Arabidopsis thaliana: one gene and its partner. The protein of the gene in region 2 interacts with the protein of the main gene of each other region in a biochemical or structural test. Each region holds a gene or a part of one and is shown on either strand. Other genes may lie near its edges.

Region 1 (6,689 bases), on a different chromosome or scaffold from region 2:
GGCCTATACTGGGCTGAACTGTTTTCCTTTGAAAATTAAGGATAAGATCTACATTGTGAACGACAAGCTGGGCTCGATTGTTTCGGGCTCATAAGGGGATATTATTATTATTTAATCAATTTCTGCAAAATATTTACCAACATAACTTAAAACAAATTCTAACAATTAGGATGACAACAAATCTACCATTTTTTTCGTGGTTTACCATTTGTTTAATTTACGAAGTAGTTGTGAAAATAAACTTGAAAGGAAATATTGTGTCGTATAAGTTATAACTCATTTTTGAATGGTGAATTTGATAAATATTTTTAGACACATGTTTATTATATTATCAAACTGCTGACAAGAAATATATTAATATGAATGAGCATTGACCATTGGACATAAATCCAAACGAAGAGTTCTTAAAACATACGCTATGATATCAGATGACGGTAATAACAAATTAATACATACGCTAAAATTTACAGAAAATACAAGATTTTTTCACTTTCTCTATTTTTTAACGAAATATTTGTCGACTTCTGAGGTAATCGATGTTAGCCTTGAGTTTTGTAATTTGTATAAAAAATGTACTCCAATCACAATAATTTTGGTGTATAATAAATCCAATTAAACTAAACAAATGCATGTTGTTGGACTTACTTTAAGTCGGTTCAATATTTTGTAAAATACCATAGAATATTGAAGGTGGATTCTATTCCCCATTTACATTTATTTATTTTCCTTCTATTTTCGACATACTTTAAAATTATATTATTACCCATTTGTTCGGCTTTATGGACAATTATTGGTGTAAATGACCATATATTTCCTAATGTCTGCTGATACAAACAAACGGTAACTTCTAAACTTTCAATTTGTTTAATTTATTACATCAAGGTTTATCTTTCAAAATAAATTTAAAGAAAAACTGCTTCTTACCTATTTGATAAGTTGATAGTAATGTTTGTGTTAAATCTCCTCATAGACGTCGCTTTACCTATTAATTACCACTATAATTTAATTTCATAATTGGATTTAGTGTCACCCTAATTTTAGTACGAGAGATCTCTAAAGAAAAAAGTGAAAACACAATCACAGAAAATTATTACAATTTTTAACAAGATTCTAGTATAAAACATATTGATTTCAACGTAAAGAAAATTTAATCACAAAGAAAAAAAACAATAACTTTGTAATATTGTATCTCCGTGTGATTGCTTTACACATGGATTTATTTAATTAATTAACAGATAAAACATATTAATTCCAACTTCTTCTTTCTTTCTTTTTTGGACAAAAATTTCAACTTTTTTTATAATATAACTTTTGTGTCGAAAATATATACTTTTCCTGAAAAAGAGTGATAACTAATTAAAAAAAAAATGTTTAGAAGTACAAAAGAAAAGTATTGTTTCCAAATTCGAGAAAAAGCTGTAATCACGCCCTTGTGTTTAATTCTCAATAAATCACATTTAAAAGCGATTTTTTTAACGGCCCAGATATTGTCACGTAGGATAACGTACTCCGTATATTCTCCATTTCCGAACCATCCGACCAGGTCGCATCATATGTTGTGAAAAAATCGTTATGGAAGAAACTCTGTTTTAGTTAGATCCAATAATATTAAGCCACGTGGAATTGATGAATCCAATCTTCTTTATAAACTCCGTTTTCGGAATTTTGATTTTGTTTAAAATGTCTTACAAATTTATATAAGGAAACGGCAAAAGAGCCCAAAAAGTAACAAAAGACAAAACAATTAAAGGAAAAAAGAAAGAGTCAAAAGAACTCGAACTATCATATAATAAGAAAAGAAAAAGACATAGGACAAAATAAAATATATTCATATTCACAAAACACAAAACAAAATTGTTAATCAAATAGTATAAGACTAAAAATGCCTGATTAGGGGAAGGTAGTTGTTGTTGAATAGTGACTAGAACGAGTTAAATGGTTTGAGATCTCCAAGTTTACATTTCAACATCTCAGATTTTAATCCAACGGTTCTCAATCCTTCTACTACGTAAAAACACCACCGTCCCCGTTCCGTTCCGTTCTGTTCTCTCTGTCACTTTTGTCTCTTCTAAGTTTTTAACACTTACCTTGTCGTCTCTGTTCTTCTTCTTCTCTCATTCCTTTCGTTTATCGTTTTCTTCTTCCAATTTTGGATCTCTCTTCCTTTTGATCTGATTCGTTACTTGCTCTATGTTGCTTCAATTTTGAATTCTTTTGATTTTTGATTGTGTGGGGGAGATGGGGCAATGTTACGGGAAGGTTAATCAGAGTAAGCAAAATGGTGAAGAAGAAGCTAACACGACTACTTATGTTGTTTCCGGCGACGGGAATCAGATTCAGCCTCTAACTCCGGTTAATTACGGTCGAGCTAAGAACACTCCAGCTAGGTCATCGAATCCGAGTCCTTGGCCTAGTCCTTTCCCTCACGGATCAGCGAGCCCTCTTCCTTCTGGTGTTTCTCCTTCTCCGGCCAGAACTTCCACTCCGAGGAGGTTTTTCCGACGGCCTTTCCCGCCGCCTTCTCCAGCCAAACACATTAAGGCTTCTTTGATCAAACGTCTTGGAGTGAAGCCTAAGGAAGGTCCGATCCCTGAGGAGAGAGGAACTGAGCCGGAGCAGTCGCTTGATAAGAGCTTTGGTTATGGCAAGAATTTTGGTGCTAAGTACGAATTGGGGAAAGAAGTGGGTCGAGGGCATTTTGGTCATACTTGTTCTGGCCGTGGTAAGAAGGGAGATATTAAGGATCATCCTATTGCTGTCAAGATCATCTCCAAGGCTAAGGTTTTAAATTCTCAATCTTTTGAACATCTAGTTTTTGATTTTGGGATTGCTTGCATTGGTGTTGAATTTTAGCTTATATTGTGATTTGTTTGTTGCTGATGCTGCTACAAGAATCTGTGGAGGGTTTTGAAATGTGGAACGAGTAATGCTTACATTTTCTCGTAGTTGAGGTAGTGAAAGTAAGATTCTTGGGTTTGGATAATGGCTGTGGGACAGTGAATTGTCTTTTTCTTCCAGCTGAGTCTCTTGAGACAAACAATGTTGTCTCTTTTGATAGGTAAATTTTTTGTTTGGCAGTGAGTTGAGTAGACAAAAATGTGAACTTTTTGTTGATTTGTCAGCATTAGGACAAGGATAGTCATCAAAGAATGAGTTTCATGTACTAATGTTTATGAGCTTTTCTTCTGCAAACATTTGTTTGTTCGAAGCTTGTAATCACAGTTAGGTTACGTTTTGATTACTTAGCTGTTGATTTTGTAAGAATGTTATGGTGTTACATGTGATATTTGTTGTCTGTTTCATCCTTTTTTGAAAAGATGATTCATGAAAAACGTAACTAGAGAAGTCTTTGTCTGGCTGCGTCCTGGGGAGACCATAATCTGACATTCCTTTTGTCTGCATTAGGACACAATGTTTTATGTATGGGCTTCACTTTTGAAAGCTCATGATTTTGGCTTATCTTTGTAATGAAGCTGGTCTGACACATTTTGGTGACAGTTGTGCTATCCTTCTCTCTAATAGAACAAGCAAAAAGGATTTGTTGACTGAATTATCTTTCTGTACTTGGCAGATGACAACAGCAATTGCAATTGAAGATGTTCGCAGGGAGGTGAAGTTACTGAAATCATTATCTGGACACAAATATTTAATCAAATATTATGATGCATGTGAGGACGCCAATAACGTATACATAGTCATGGAGTATGTCTTGTTTCCATTTTTTTTTATCAGATATTTGATGTTCTCTCTTCCTCAGGATTTTGGCTGTTACTTAAATGTTGTAACACAGAACATCACTTCTGAACTGCATTTCTTTGAACATATCTCTGTAATCAGACACACCTTGTAAACCAGTTACTTAAATCGATGTTTGGTTCTGCTTGACCAGGTTGTGTGATGGTGGAGAACTTTTGGACAGAATTTTAGCAAGGTATGTCTGATTACTCTTTTAGGTGTTTCTCTGCATATGCCTCAAGTTAAATGCTGAGAATTTATTCATATCTATGCTCAAACACTGCATTCTCTTGTCTCAGGGGTGGTAAATACCCGGAGGATGATGCAAAGGCGATTGTCGTACAAATTCTAACTGTTGTTTCATTTTGTCATCTCCAAGGAGTTGTGCACCGTGACTTAAAGCCAGAGGTCTGTTTTTACAAAGAAAACTTTCCCTATCTCTACCTCCAGTAGCATTACACATCATTACTAAACACTCCTGTTACCTTGTTCAACAGAATTTTCTATTTACATCAAGCCGCGAAGACTCAGACTTGAAACTTATTGATTTTGGTCTCTCAGACTTTATTAGACCTGGTAAGACTTTTCATTCTTTCAGGCCTTGTCACTATACTTTCCTTATAGCTGCCTACTAGTGAAATTTGATTGAATTCCTCAATGCAGATGAAAGACTGAATGATATAGTTGGAAGTGCCTACTATGTCGCGCCTGAAGTTTTACACAGGTCATATAGCCTTGAGGCTGATATATGGAGTATTGGAGTTATTACATATATACTCTTATGTGGAAGCCGACCTTTTTGGGCACGGACAGAATCTGGAATCTTTCGCACTGTACTAAGAACTGAACCAAACTATGATGACGTACCTTGGCCTTCTTGTTCATCAGAAGGTAAAGATTTTGTGAAACGACTTCTCAACAAAGACTATAGGAAGCGAATGTCTGCAGTTCAAGCTTTGAGTGAGTTTTTTTTTTCTTTTTTTGACACATCATTGAGTTATATTATTTTGAACATTACAGAACTAATGATATGTTTATTTTCAGCTCATCCGTGGTTACGGGATGATAGTCGTGTGATTCCTTTAGACATTTTGATCTATAAGTTGGTCAAAGCCTACTTGCACGCGACACCTCTTAGACGAGCTGCTTTAAAGGTATGACTTTCTTCTTCTTCTTCTTTTGGCACAAAGTTGGTAAGAGTTGATTTAGAAGATTGAAGCATATGTTTAATAATTGAATCTAGGCGCTAGCAAAAGCATTGACCGAGAACGAGCTAGTCTATCTTAGAGCACAGTTCATGCTGTTGGGACCAAACAAAGATGGTAGCGTCTCTCTCGAAAACTTCAAGACGGTAAGTTACTTAATCTGAAGGAAGGCCTTTGGTCAATAGTCACATCGGCTTTTTTAAACTAAAAAGGTTTAATAAGCTCCATCCTCGCAGGCGCTTATGCAAAACGCAACAGACGCAATGAGAGAATCAAGAGTTCCTGAAATACTTCACACTGTGAGAACCTGAGAACAAATTTGAGAGAAAAATGAATCAATCTTTTGGTTTCTAATGATCATCTGTTTTGGCAGATGGAATCTCTAGCGTATAGGAAGATGTATTTCGAAGAGTTCTGTGCAGCAGCAATTAGCATCCATCAACTAGAAGCTGTTGACGCGTGGGAAGAGATAGCAACGGCAGGTTTCCAGCATTTTGAAACCGAGGGAAACCGAGTGATCACAATCGAAGAACTAGCAAGGGTATGGTGTTAAATGTAATCCTCTCGATTCATAGGACCGGTGTTTGGCTTCGGAACTGAATTTGACTCTGGTTATTGAACAGGAACTGAATGTGGGTGCGTCTGCGTATGGACACTTGAGAGATTGGGTAAGAAGCAGTGACGGGAAGCTGAGTTACTTAGGGTTCACTAAGTTCTTGCACGGAGTTACTCTTCGTGCTGCTCACGCAAGACCTCGCTAGTCCTTCTCTAATTTTAGGTCTTTTTCTTAATATTTTTTTTCTTCATCAGAACAGAGCAAATAGACTTCTGAGAGAGGTGAGGGGTATTTTCGTCCGTTTGTTTTGTTCTTTATCGTATTATAGAGTTTCAATTTTATGGTACAGAAAAGACCAAAATGAAAAAAAGATATAAACATGTGCATAAGGTAGATGGGTTACAGTCATTTTTTTGCAAGTATAATATATGAACATCTATGGTTCAAGTAGTCATATTGTATGTCAATTGCTTTTAACTTTTACATTGTTTCCTCTAAGCAAATCACTTCATCATCATCATCTCCATTACAACAAATCCTTAAGAATATCATTCATACCATTAAAGAGGTCTAGCATCTAATCAAACGATTTTCAGGCCAACTACTAATTCTACATAAGGCTATTATGAAGGGTTAAAACTTAAAAGCAAAAGACAATAAAGTAACGCTGTCCTAATCAACAAATTAAAAAATGAAATGAAAAGTGATAAAACAACAATTAGTGATAACCCAAAAAAAAGCTAAGCCTTTCCTTTTCTCAAATGGTGCCGACAATCGAATCATAACCATTTATTACAAATCATGATAGTGAGATGAGTGGGTTCGATCGTACCCATTAGTCTACGGAAAACAGGCACTCTACAGGTGTGATAGTATATATATACAGCCCAAATCATGATACTTTTCGCTTTCTTAAACTAATTGTTTCACAAGTATATATGTTTTAATTTAGATAGTTATATTTAATATAAATGAGATTAGATTGTAGTACTGCCCATATTTTTTTGTAGAATGTATACAAACTACAAAGATATCAGTAAGAAGATAGGATCTTCTTGGTTTCATCCTTTTTACTGTGTGATATTGTGATTGGTGAAATAGGATCTTTGGAATTAACGCATAGAGTAAAAGACTCTGAAGAATGCATGAGTAACCTGCTAACATTGGAAGATGCATTGCTATTTACTTCGATG
Region 2 (5,249 bases):
CTTACTCTCTAAAGATGTCCAACTTGTGCTTACTCTCTAGGGATGTCTACTACAAAAATATAATATAAATATAAATAAAATTGGGTGCACAAAAAAATAATATAAATAAATATATAATACCACAAATATTTAGAATATATATTAATCCAATATAAATTAAAAATTAAAAATTAAATTATGTTATTACTTTGGGTTCTCTATTTTTAATTTCTGATTTATATATCCATCGTTTAAAAAGTAGTTAATTGTTTTCTGGTTTATTCTCTTAAATATTTAATAAATTACATCTTTCCCAAAGCATAGTTAACTAAAATCAAACGATTTTATTATATTTTCTAAATTAGTGAGACATAGAGAAGATATAAAAAAAAAATTATATAGAAGTTCTAAAATTTTCGTATCATTTCCGTTTTGGAGATCCTATTTACAATTTAGAAGAAAATATATTCAATTAAACTCTTAATCCACGCTACATTTTTTTTCTTTTGGTTCCTCTCTCCTTTTAGAAAGAAAATATCTGAATCATCTTAATTCTCTCTCAATCTCCGAACCCTAATTCTCTCATCTTAATCCCCTTTCAGTCTCCCTCAAAATTTAGAATGGAGACTGAGATGAGAGAATTATATCTGACTCTTAGGAACTTCGGTTTCAAAGAAAAATTCGTATCAATAATGACTTCCTGGAGAAGATAAAATTCTTGGTCACTCTCCTCTGAGCCGAAGAGTTTTTTGAATTTCTTGTTTATGATTAGAACTCTTTTGAGACGTTTAACCGGAATCTTGAATTTATATAAGAAGATAGATATATCTTGATAATTTTGTCGAATCAATCGATGTCTTTGGCTTGAACCTTCTATCGAAAGACATTATCGAAAGACATTATGACTTCTCTAAAACTATAAGCTTACAAATCCCACATGTCAGACTTTGTAGTCATCTAATTGGAGCTACGTTGAATTGATACTACAAATTTTGTTCAAATGAAAAGTTATCATATAATTGCAAAGAATATATTAGATGTGTGTTCAATAAATAATTAAATATGATTTGAAATTAACTTTTAACTGTCAAAAATAATTATATTTTTAGAAAATTAAAAAAAAAGTCAACAATTTTAGACTTCAACTCTTACGGTTGTGGGCCGAGTCAACCGATGCCCGTCATAAACGTCCTCTTACATGCTCCCAAAACAAAGTCAACTCAACTATCTAATCGGAATATATATTTGAGTTTCATTATCTTTAATAAAGTTGAATATAAACCAAAAAAACAAAAACAAAAATCTTTGGTTTTAGATAGTTTACTTGGGTTTGTATGGCTAAGAATTTAGAGTATCTCCGGTTTCTTTGGTACTCGTTTTCTTGTCAAGTAAGAACAATATTTTGTGTTGAAAAGTCATTGTGGAAAAAAACCAGAATAGATTCAAGATGATCGAAGATTCGATAGACAAAACAATGACCTTGTGATATTGATATGACACCGTGATATTTTCACAAAATTCCTCAAGGAAAGATTTATTTTGATTCTTGTTTATGATTAATGACCTTAAACCCCATAAAATGATTGGAGAGAAACCGGAGATGTGAGACAAATGGTTTCGATCTAATACTAAATTTAAGTAAGCGAATTTCGTTTAAAAATAATAATCTAAGTAAGTTGCATTAGAAAACAAATACTAATTTCAAGATGATTAGAGTGTTTAATTATGGTTCCACCTAATCACCGTTTAAAACATTATTATACTAAATCTATTGATATATTTTGCACAAATAAAATAATATATCAATTATACTTGTCCGTTTTGTTTTATATATCATTTAAGATTTTTTTTACACATATTAAAAAAAAATATATTGTTATATCATATTATGTTTGTATCAATTAAAATTAATAATTTAAAAATCAATAACACAGAAAATGTAGTATTAAGAATATTAATATTTTTCCCAAATTTTATTTTAGCATTTACAGAAAGAGATTTTTACCTTAAATAATTACATTTCTTTCTCTTTTTATTCCAATGACCTCATACAAAATTGTAACCTGGTGTGTCTATATATGTAAACTTTAATATTCCTGAAAAATATGAGATTCCATTGGGCCGCGAAAGAATCTTTATAATTTTATTCCTGATATTTAGTTGTATTTTTTGTTTCTTTCCTTGTGGAGAGCCAAAAAGTCTCCAAAGTCTTCACGTCACCCTCTTCCTCAATCTCTGCACCCACCCCTCCTCCTTCTATAAGTACTACTCTTCATATCTCTCTCTACCAAAATATCAAAACACGAGACAGATTTGATTCCATTTTTATTACTGTTACTATCATCCAAACCCTTGGTATTTGTAGCCATGAGTCTTGTTTCAGATCTCATCAACCTTAACCTCTCAGACTCCACTGACAAAATCATTGCTGAATACATATGGTTCGTCTTCTTCTTTTGTTTCTTTCATAAAAATCGTTTTTTGTTTGTGTATATGTTCTCGTATCAAACCTAAATCTAATGGGTTCGTGTTGTTTTTTCAACTTTTGACTCTGTTTTACTTTTTGGGATTGTATGGATTATAGTTTTGGTTTTGTGTCTGCCTTTGGTTGTTCTTAGTCCTCTAGAGCCAATTTGGTTTTGTTTATTCTTCAGATCTATGTTTAATTTGCTGATAAATCTATTAGGCTCCTGAATCTGCCAATACTGCAAAACTTTTTATCCCCTGATGATGTTTGCTCTGTTTTTTGGCTCTGTTCTGGCTCTGTTTTTGGCTCTGTTTTTAAACATAACGATTGAATTTTCTGAAATATTTTGTCTCTTGTTGGTGTTCTTTTAATACCAAATCAGGGTTGGTGGTTCTGGAATGGACATGAGAAGCAAAGCCAGGGTAATTTTTCATTCTCTAGATAATCTTGTGAAAAGGTCAACTTTTGTCTATCTCTATTTTTGGTAGTAATTCTGGTTTATATATGTAGACTCTACCTGGACCAGTGACTGACCCTTCGCAGCTACCAAAGTGGAACTATGATGGTTCAAGCACAGGCCAAGCTCCTGGTGAAGACAGTGAAGTCATCTTATAGTTAATAATCTTTCTTTCTTGATCTTAAATCAGATTCTTCTCATTGGTTTTTTTTTCGATTCTTGTTTACTAATCTTTTGTGTTTTGTACATCTTTGTTTAGCCCTCAAGCCATATTCAAGGATCCTTTCCGTAGAGGAAACAACATTCTTGTGAGTTTCTTTTAGTTTTGACCTTTTTTGTTGCAGCCATGCTTTATTACATCCATCTTAACTTAATGGTTTTGATCAGGTCATGTGCGATGCGTACACTCCCGCGGGTGAACCAATCCCGACTAACAAAAGACACGCTGCGGCTAAGGTCTTTAGCAACCCTGATGTTGCAGCTGAAGTGCCATGGTATGGTATTGAGCAAGAATACACTTTACTCCAGAAAGATGTGAAGTGGCCTGTTGGTTGGCCTATTGGTGGTTATCCCGGCCCTCAGGTGAAGAAGATGGATATATAATCGGTTTTGTATCTTTTCCGTTGTCGGTTATTCTAAAATTTTAGGCGAAAATGTATTGCAGGGACCGTACTATTGCGGTATTGGAGCAGACAAATCTTTTGGCAGAGATGTTGTTGATTCTCACTACAAGGCCTGCTTATACGCTGGGATCAACATTAGTGGCATCAATGGAGAAGTCATGCCGGGTCAGTGGGAGTTCCAGGTCGGTCCAGCTGTTGGTATCTCGGCTGCTGATGAAATTTGGGTCGCTCGTTACATTTTGGAGGTAAGTTTAACGTTATAACTTCAATGTTTGTTTATGTAGTTTTTGATTAGTAACACTTAGCTTGTTCTTAAAACAGAGGATCACAGAGATTGCTGGTGTAGTGGTATCTTTTGACCCGAAACCGATTCCCGGTGACTGGAACGGTGCTGGTGCTCACTGCAACTACAGGTACATGTCAAGAATCTCTTAAATGTTTTCTTTTATGGTCTTTTCGCTGATTCATAAAACCAAAATGGTAATTGTTTCAGTACCAAGTCAATGAGGGAAGAAGGCGGTTACGAGATCATCAAGAAAGCAATCGATAAATTGGGACTGAGACACAAAGAACACATTGCTGCTTACGGTGAAGGCAATGAGCGTCGTCTCACAGGACACCACGAGACTGCTGACATCAACACTTTCCTTTGGGTATACTAACAAACATCTTTGCGGGTTTTCGAATAGTAAAAAAGCCGAATTACGATACATTTTGTGATTCTTTTGTGTGTTGGAATGTTGTATGTAGGGTGTTGCGAACCGTGGAGCATCGATCCGAGTAGGACGTGATACGGAGAAAGAAGGGAAAGGATACTTTGAGGACAGGAGGCCAGCTTCGAACATGGATCCTTACATTGTCACTTCCATGATTGCAGAGACTACAATCCTCTGGAATCCTTGATGATCATCAGATCAAGAAAAAATCTTGAATGTCACTCAAATTTGTGTTTCTTGCAAGATTCAAAGTTTGTGTTCTCTATCAAGCAATGTCTTAGGATAAGTCAAAGATTTGCTCTGCTTATTCTGCTTTTTATTTACTTCACATCCTATTGAAAACATTTCTGTGTATTATTTATGAATAAACATTATCTTAAAAGGGCTGATTTATTTACTAATGCATGCATTCACCACTTAAGATCCAGAATTTGTTTTTTTTTTTTTGCATTTTGATTCATATAAGATAACAACTAAAATGAAAATTAATCTGGTTTGCGGGGCAGGCTAGGTGGATCTAAATGTATATTAATATTTTTTTAATTTTTCAAAATAAATATTTCAAATTATATATAAAGATAACTATACTTTTATTATTTTATTTATCTTATTTTAAAATGTTAAATTTAAATTCGTTTTCAAGAATGCTTTTTATAATGTTTTTTTCTAATATTTCATGTAGTAGTATATAAATAGATATCATTTTATTCTAAAACCGTTTAAAATGTTTAGGTTCCGACTAAGCGTTCTAGGCACTAAGCAGAAGGTCACCACCCGTTTAGCACCTAGCGTTTTGTTGAACACTAATTCTAATGCATAATTTAGAATCACTGATTGAACATTTAGCTTGGATTAATATATTTTATTAAAGTTTGAAAATATAGTTAAAATCAATTTTAGTTATTTCGGTTCAGGTTAATTTGGACCAATGAAGAACCGAACCAAATGATTTGAAAGTAATTTCGTCGAACACCTGGTGAGCAACTTCACTATACTCGAGGGTTTAA

What was found.
Region 1: of the proteins of GSR 1 (region 2) and CRK3, one has a biochemical effect on the other in vitro, tested with the Arabidopsis thaliana proteins (one study listed by BioGRID).

The regions. Positions count from the first base shown.
Region 1 is NC_003071.7:19,181,980-19,188,668, reverse strand, and holds CRK3 (CDPK-related kinase 3), read left to right. Parts: upstream 1-1,856; 5' UTR 1,857-2,238; coding exon 2,239-2,781; exon of another isoform or gene 2,782-3,058; intron 3,059-3,571; coding exon 3,572-3,702; intron 3,703-3,889; coding exon 3,890-3,931; intron 3,932-4,034; coding exon 4,035-4,143; intron 4,144-4,232; coding exon 4,233-4,311; intron 4,312-4,398; coding exon 4,399-4,695; intron 4,696-4,779; coding exon 4,780-4,889; intron 4,890-4,978; coding exon 4,979-5,086; intron 5,087-5,176; coding exon 5,177-5,239; intron 5,240-5,313; coding exon 5,314-5,481; intron 5,482-5,563; coding exon 5,564-5,701; 3' UTR 5,702-6,016; downstream 6,017-6,689. UniProt on the Arabidopsis thaliana protein: May play a role in signal transduction pathways that involve calcium as a second messenger. Serine/threonine kinase that phosphorylates histone H3 an GLN1-1.
Region 2 is NC_003076.8:14,932,754-14,938,002, reverse strand, and holds GSR 1 (uncharacterized protein), read left to right. Parts: upstream 1-2,117; 5' UTR 2,118-2,346; coding exon 2,347-2,420; intron 2,421-2,828; coding exon 2,829-2,868; intron 2,869-2,956; coding exon 2,957-3,060; intron 3,061-3,162; coding exon 3,163-3,211; intron 3,212-3,290; coding exon 3,291-3,485; intron 3,486-3,567; coding exon 3,568-3,771; intron 3,772-3,847; coding exon 3,848-3,939; intron 3,940-4,019; coding exon 4,020-4,179; intron 4,180-4,276; coding exon 4,277-4,429; 3' UTR 4,430-4,717; downstream 4,718-5,249. UniProt on the Arabidopsis thaliana protein: High-affinity glutamine synthetase which catalyzes the synthesis of glutamine from ammonium and glutamate. May contribute to the homeostatic control of glutamine synthesis in roots.